Linked DNA regions of Sus scrofa. The protein of the gene in region 1 interacts with the protein of each later gene in a pairwise test. Links are inferred from orthologs where the notes say so. Each region holds a gene or a part of one and is shown on either strand. Other genes may lie near its edges. The genes, in order: NIPBL and MAU2.

Region 1 (3,395 bases):
TTTGCCAGAAAATTCAGCTCCTTTAATTGAGTTTGCAAATGTCTCGCAGGGTATTTTATTGCTTCTGATGTTAAAACAACATTTGAAGAATCTCTGTGGCTTTTCTGATAGGTAAGATTATATAAGCATTGAAAGAAAACACTTTATTCTTTTCAAATAATAAACAAATATAAAACCCCCCTTTTTTTTTTTTTTTTTTTTGGTCTTTTGTCTTTTTAGGGCATACCCGCAGCACATGAGGGTTCCCAGGCTAGGGGTCAAATCAGAGCTGTAGCTGCTGACCTACACCACAGCCACAGCAATGCCAGATTTGAGCCACATCTGCGACCTATACCACAGCTCATGGCAACACCAGATCCTTAACCCACTGAGCAAGGGCAGGGATCGAACCCGCAACCTCATGGTTCCTAGTCGGTTTTGTTAACCACTGAGCCACAATGGGAACTCCTGAAACCCATTTTTGATTGCATGCTGAATATTAAAAATCCTGCTATTTAAAAAAGGAGTTTGTTCCTTTTTATTGCTATATAGCATTTTGTTGTATAATATGACATACTACTGTCCAATCTGTTATTGGGGAAAAACCGTATTCTCTAACTGAAGATATGCATTATAAATTAAAAGCCTTATTGTGTTGATTTCCTTTAAAAGGTATTAGAGAGTTAGGCTAATCTTAAAATAGATTGCAAATTTAAGTTTTTAAAGAGCAATGAATGAAGAAAAGGTGCAGACCAGCTAGACTGAGTTCTAACAGAACCCAGTAATCTTTAATATGCTCTAGGAGATAGAAAAGTACTAATAAATTGAGAATGCCTTATAAATTTTACCCACCAGTAGTCACTATAGGTATCTCTTTTCTCCCTGTACCTATGGAATTTTGAACATTTTTCACATTCATTGAAACCTTCTGAAGTCAAGTGTTCATAGGGATGATAGTGCAATGAGTAAAGTAGACCTGATAGAAGATCAGTGGCAAAATGGAAAGAACATGTTGCATCCAGAGGGTTCAGATGTTACTCAGATGTTCATCAGTTTGTTCCCATGAAAGAGTGGGTACAGTGTGGCCAGAGTTTCCATCTTTTCAAGAGAAGCTGGATAATCTAGATTTTCATGAGAAGTGACGATGTTAAATGTTGGCAACTACAGGCATACCTTGTTTAATTGCACTTTGCAGATATTGAGTGTTTTTTAAAAATTGAAATTTTGAGCAAAGTGTTGGGCAAGTCTAACGTCACCATTTTTCCAACAGCATTTGTTCACTTTGTGCCACTGTGTCACATTTTGGTAATTCTTAAAATATTTAAATGTTTTTCACTACTATTAAATTTTTTATGCTGGTCTGTGATCCTGATCTTTGTTGCTATTGCAAAAAGATTACAATTCACTGAAGGCTCAGATGATAGCTTTTTTTGTTGTTGTTGTCTTTTTGCCATTTCTTGGGCCGCTCCTGCGGCATATGGAGGTTCCCAGGCTAGGGGTCGAATCGGAGCTGTAGCTGCCAGCCTGCGCCAGAGCCACAGCAACGCAGGATCCGAGCCGCGTCTGCGACCTACACCACAGCTCACGGCAACACCGGATCATTAACCCACTGAGCAAGGGCAGGGATCGAACCCACACCGTCATGGTTCCTAGTTGGATTCGTTAACCACTGCGCCACGACAGGAACTCCCAGATGATAGCATTTTTTTAGCAGTAACTTTTTTTTTAGTTAACCTGTGTGTTGTTTCCAGACATAATGCTATTGCACACTTAATAGACTAGTATAGTGTAAATGTAAATAATTTTTATACACACTGGGAAACCAAAAAATTTGTGTGATTTGTTTTATTGTGGTATTTGCTTTATTGCAATGATCTGGAACCAAATGCACAATGTCTCCAAGGTATGCCTGTAATTCAGAATGATTTAAAACATTGTTAAGTCTTGGGGAAGTACTAAGGAGTTGGAAAGATTTTGAAACAGTTGTTAAGACTGTGAAACAGGTTTGTAAACCGTCACTCTGGCTGCTGTACAGAGAATGAATAGTTGGGGCACAAAAAAGTGAAACAAGGTAAATCAGTTAGGTAGTATTGAGAAAGTATATTAAAACTGTCCCACATGGAATTACCGCTCTGGCATAGTGGGATTGGCGGTGTCTCTGGAGCACTGAGACGCAGATTCGATCCCTGGCCTGGCACAGTGGGTTAAGGATACAGCCGCAGCTGTAGTGTTGGTTGCAAGTGTGGCTCGGATCTGATGCGTTTTTTTTTTTTAAACCTTTGTTTTTATGTATTTGCTTTCCTTTTTTTAATTACACTTAATGTTATATATACAGTTTCACTGGTTGAAATCTAAATGATAGAAAGTTTAATTATAAGTAAATAAAATTTAACTGGAATCAATTTTAATGTAAGTACCTGGGAAAAAATGTTAAATTAATGATTTTATTTTCCCAAAACAGTAAAATTCAGAAATACTCTCCATCTGAATCTGCAAAAGTGTATGATAAGGCGATAAACCGAAAAACAGGAGTTCATTTTCATCCCAAACAAACACTGGACTTCCTGCGGAGTGATATGGCTAATTCCAAAATCACTGAAGATGTGAAGAGGAGTATAGTAAAACAGTATCTAGATGTAAGTAGTAAAACTGAAAAATGTTTCCTTCTGATAATAGCATTTGTAAAGTAAATTCTTTTGAGAGAAATAGCTACCTCCTTTACATTGAAGGTAAGCTTTATGAACCATTAATTTTATCTCTATAGTTCTAATGAGTTACTTTGAGCTTGCCTTTCCCATTTCACGCACTGCCCCATCATTGTTTTTTCTTAGGAAATGCCAGCCTACCAATAACTTTATTTTAGTGAAAAGTTTTTTGTTTTTGTAGCTTATGGCAAAGACAGAAACTTAACCCACTGAATAAGACCCCTCATCGTCACAGACACCACATTGGGTTCTTCTTTTTTTTTTTTGGCCACTCCACAACATATGGAATTCCTGGGCCAGGGATCAGATCTGAGCCACAGTTGCAACCTGTGCCACAGCTGCAGCAACATTGAATCCTTAACCCTCTGTGCTGGGCTAGGGATTGAACCTGCATCCCAGAGCTCCAGAGATGAGAACTCCAGTAAGCTGCGTTGGGAACTCCATATTTTAGCTAAAAGTTTTTAGGCAAGTTTTAGGGAAAAGCTATGCCCATATATGTGTTTGCTTGTTTTTTTTTAACATAGTGGATTACATGGTTTGTACTTCATAAAAGAAAAAACCATGATAAGTCATCCTTCTACCCTCTTCAGCCATGAGGACACTGGTTTGATCTCTGGCCTCACTCAGTGGGTTAAGGATCCGGTGTTGCTGTGAACTGTGGTGTAGGGCTGCAGACTAAAATCCCACGTTGCTGTGGCTGTGGCGAAGGCC
Region 2 (3,820 bases), on another chromosome or scaffold:
GAATCCCTCCAGGAATGTCTTACTCTTAGAATAATACCCTGGTCACCAAAGCCTGGCTGTGAGCCTGTTTCCTCACCTGGACAGGGAGATGAACCCTTTTGTTTGAGGGTCCCATTGGAACTGAGTAAAGTGACAGACTGGATGCTGGGCCAGCGCCTAGCAGAGCAAGTGCGCTCAGCCCCAGGTAGCTGAGGTGCCGGTGTGCAGGAGGGCTCGAAGGCCCAGGAGTCAGTCAGGACCCAAGGTCAGTGTCTCCTCAGTTGTCTCCTCAACCTGCATTTCAAGAGCTCACTCCTGCCTCTCTCCCCCAGTGCTCGACTGCAGCCCCATTCTGTCCTCCTTCCAAGTGATCCTGCTCGAGCACATCATCATGTGCAGACTCGTCACAGGACACAAGGCCACTGCCCTGCAGGAGGTAAGGCACTGGAGGCTGCACACACAGAATGGGAAGGCTGAGGGGTAGGGTGGTTTGAGTGTGCTGGGTTGTGGAGGGTGTCACACAGGAGAGTGTAAATGTGTCCGGTGTGTATCGGCAAGACATGTCTGTGTATGTCATTTGGCTTAACCTGGCAGTCCATAGCCCTGCCTGGACACAGTTGATCAGAGAATCTGATACAGATAAACTGTTTTTTCCCTGAAAGTTTGCATGCCCAAGGAACATGGGGTCTTGGGATTTAGAATCCTCTGATGACAATCCTAACACCCCCTCCTGTCCTGTAATTCATAATCCCCGATTGCCACCTTTTTGAAAGGGTGCTGGGCCTTGAGTAGGGTGAAGGTGCTGTATGGCTGAGACCCAAGTTGGAAAGGGAGGTGAAGACGGGTAACAGACTAGGGTCACTGGCCTCAAAGAGGTCAAGGCTGCACCTAATCCTCACAAGTGGGAACATCTGCTGGGACTTTGTGCCTTTGTGGGGTAAGGGCACACCCACCAGCTTTGGGTCTCTCCCCACTGCTGCCAGGACACTGGGTCCCACATTACAGACCCTGTGACATCAGACATTCTCTCTCCCGGCAGATCTCCCAGGTCTGTCAGCTGTGCCAGCAGTCCCCCCGGCTCTTCTCCAACCATGCAGCACAGCTGCATACACTGCTGGTGAGTGTGTGAGGGCTATCCATCCCTGGCCCCACCCCAGTGAGTAACCTCTGACCACTACCCCAGTCAGGATCTTGAATCCTTTCAGTGAATAACTGCATATCCATCACTCCACGCAAGATTTAGAATCTTCCTAGTGGGCCTCATTCTGTCAAGCATTTCATCAAGTCCAACTTGACTTTGGTCCCAGGAGGCAGGAATAATTAAACAGGCCATCTTCCTCCTAGTTTGTCAAGATAAAGCTTAGATATAGGGAGTTTCTGTTGTGGTGCAGTGGAAACAAATCTGACTAGTATCCATGAGGATGCAGGTTCAATCCCTGACCTTGCTCAGTGGGTCGGGGATCCAGCATTGCCATGAGCTGTGGTGTAGGTTGCAGACATGGTTTGGATCCTGTGTTGCTGTGGCTGTGGTGTAGGCCAGCAGCTATAGCTCTGATTCAACCCCTAGCCTGGGAACTTATATCCATGCGCCATAGGTGTGGCCCTGAAAAAAAAAAGTAAGCTTAGATATAGTTGGCTCAGTAGAGTCACCACTTGTCAGGCTCTTCTGGGTGCAGCCGTGCAGCTCTGGGCAAGCTGCGTGTGGCTCTGAGCCCTCAGCACCTTCTTTTTCCAGGGCCTGTATTGTGTCTCTGTCAACTGCATGGACAACGCAGAAGCCCAGTTCACCACAGCTTTGCGGGTAAGGTGCCGGCCCTCACTTTATGGGGCAGGCGGTGCTTCTCAGTAAGCAGTCGGGTATGGTCTGTGATGAGGACAACAGCCACACAAAACCATGGTCAGCAGGTGACTCCACAACTTTCAGCCTGACACCTGCTGTGACCGTGATGTACCATTTATGCAGGGCCTTCTTGGGCTACTCAGAGGCAGACGAGGCCAGCACTGGCAGCACAGCTTGATGAGCGAGGGTGTTTCTGGCCAGCTTGGGGCGGGGTTTCCTCAGCCAACTCAAGAGGGCAGCCATGGGGAAGCTGTTCAAGGCAGGCTCCAGCCGGTGCCATGGCCTGTTCAGCTGCTCTCACTCATGGTTCCCAGTCCTGTCACAGCTGCTTGGGACCTTGGTCAGCTGCTGCTGCTCACTGCAGTGTGTCAGGATCAGCCCACATTGCCCATGGCCCTATGAAGTTCTTCCCCATCCCACTTCCTATAAATGGCTGCTACTTTTTTGGTTCAACATCAGAATTCCCAATGAATGGTGTGTGCCCCAGGGAGTCCTTGCCACCAGCCTAGGAGGAAGATGGTGCAGCCAGGACTAGAGCCCAAACCCCGCTTCCCCCTGACCCCAAACATACTTTTTCTGTGGTCCTGGGATAAATATCTTGGAGTATTTTTGCTCTGGTCAGGAGACCCTCTGGACCTTCTTGACACCTTCCAGGGTCCTCCAGGTGTGGTCTGTGCTTCCTAGGCACCCTTGGCCTCTTGCACAGCTATGCTCTCTCAGCCCCACTGGGAAAGCTCAGCCCATCCAGGTTGGTCTCTCTTGTGGCCATTCTTGTTCCCCAGAAGTACTGGGGACAGTGGTCTGTCCACCATGAGCCGTCTAGCCTCTTAACAGCTTCAGCAGCCTTCCTGGCAGGGACCTGCCTCCCGCAGGACCAGCGTGTTCCTCTGCTGTATCAGCATATGCTGGGATCCTGGGGTCACTACCTGTCGTGTGGAGGGATGGGCCACCCATGTGTCAGTACTGAGACAGTAGAGAATAGCCCAAACAGTAATGTGTTCTGAGGGCAGGATCAAAGGAGGCTTTTTTTTTTTTTTTTCTTCCTCTGTTTCCTGAATTCTCCATAACATGGATGATGGTTTTATAATGAAAAGAACTAACAGTTTTTGTTGTTCCTGGATGTTGGAGGCAAGGTCTGTGTGTTTGGGATGAAAAGAGTAAAGACATGACTCTGATACCTCCAAGTAGCCTCTCTGACATGACTGTGCTGAGCTCAGCCCCCTACCACGTTTTGTCTCCCATTCTAGCTCACCAATCACCAGGAGCTGTGGGCCTTCATCGTGACCAACCTGGCGAGTGTGTATATACGGGAAGGAAATAGACACCAAGAGGTAGTAGGTGACATGCTTCATGTTTGGTATCCTTTCTTTCAACTCTTATTTGGAGGGGGGGGGTGGGGAGTATTGTCCTGGGCACCAGTAAATCTCAGTAACCCCAGGGTTCTTGCCTTCCAGCAAGGTGTCTCATGCAGTCAGAGCATAGTCATGGCTGGGGGAAGCTAAGTCTAAAACAGAAATGAACCCTTCTCCCTACTGAAAATGAGCCAAGTTTTGTTGGTTCCCTCAGAAACAACTTGGAGTTCCCACTGTGGTACAGTGCATTAATGGTCCAGCTTGTCTCTGTGGAGACGCCAGTTCAATCCCCAGCTGGACACAGTGCGTTAAGGATCCAGCATTGCTGCAGCTGTGGAGTAGTTCACAGCTCCAGCTCAGACTCATCCCTGTCCCAGGAACTTCCATATGCCTCAGGGCGATTGAAAGGGAAAAAACAACAATTTCTTCTACCTTGAGCTGTCTGTTCTAGAATGTCAGTGAGCCCTCGCAGCTCAGTTCTGAGGAACAACAGCTTGGACTGCCATCTGCATAGGCCCCTAGGTTGTTCTGGCGTCCTAGGCAGCTGGGGTGGAGAGATAGTCCAGAGCTTGCCCTCGCAGGATAAGTACCCTCCCACTAGCTTCCCCTTGCAGCACCTCCTCATCCCTTTGATTCTCCCCTAGCCCTG

The links.
Region 2: the proteins of NIPBL (region 1) and MAU2 interact in binary tests that used the Homo sapiens proteins (3 or more experiments, as listed by UniProt). The link is inferred for Sus scrofa from reciprocal best matches to the Homo sapiens genes NIPBL and MAU2.

Annotation. Positions count from the first base shown.
Region 1 is NC_010458.4:22,358,273-22,361,667, forward strand, and holds part of NIPBL (nipped-B-like protein), read left to right. Parts: coding exon 1-111; intron 112-2,440; coding exon 2,441-2,615; intron 2,616-3,395. UniProt on the Homo sapiens protein: Plays an important role in the loading of the cohesin complex on to DNA. Forms a heterodimeric complex (also known as cohesin loading complex) with MAU2/SCC4 which mediates the loading of the cohesin complex onto chromatin.
Region 2 is NC_010444.4:58,546,626-58,550,445, reverse strand, and holds part of MAU2 (MAU2 chromatid cohesion factor homolog), read left to right. Parts: intron 1-311; coding exon 312-415; intron 416-1,018; coding exon 1,019-1,096; intron 1,097-1,714; coding exon 1,715-1,780; intron 1,781-3,066; coding exon 3,067-3,153; intron 3,154-3,820. UniProt on the Homo sapiens protein: Plays an important role in the loading of the cohesin complex on to DNA. Forms a heterodimeric complex (also known as cohesin loading complex) with NIPBL/SCC2 which mediates the loading of the cohesin complex onto chromatin.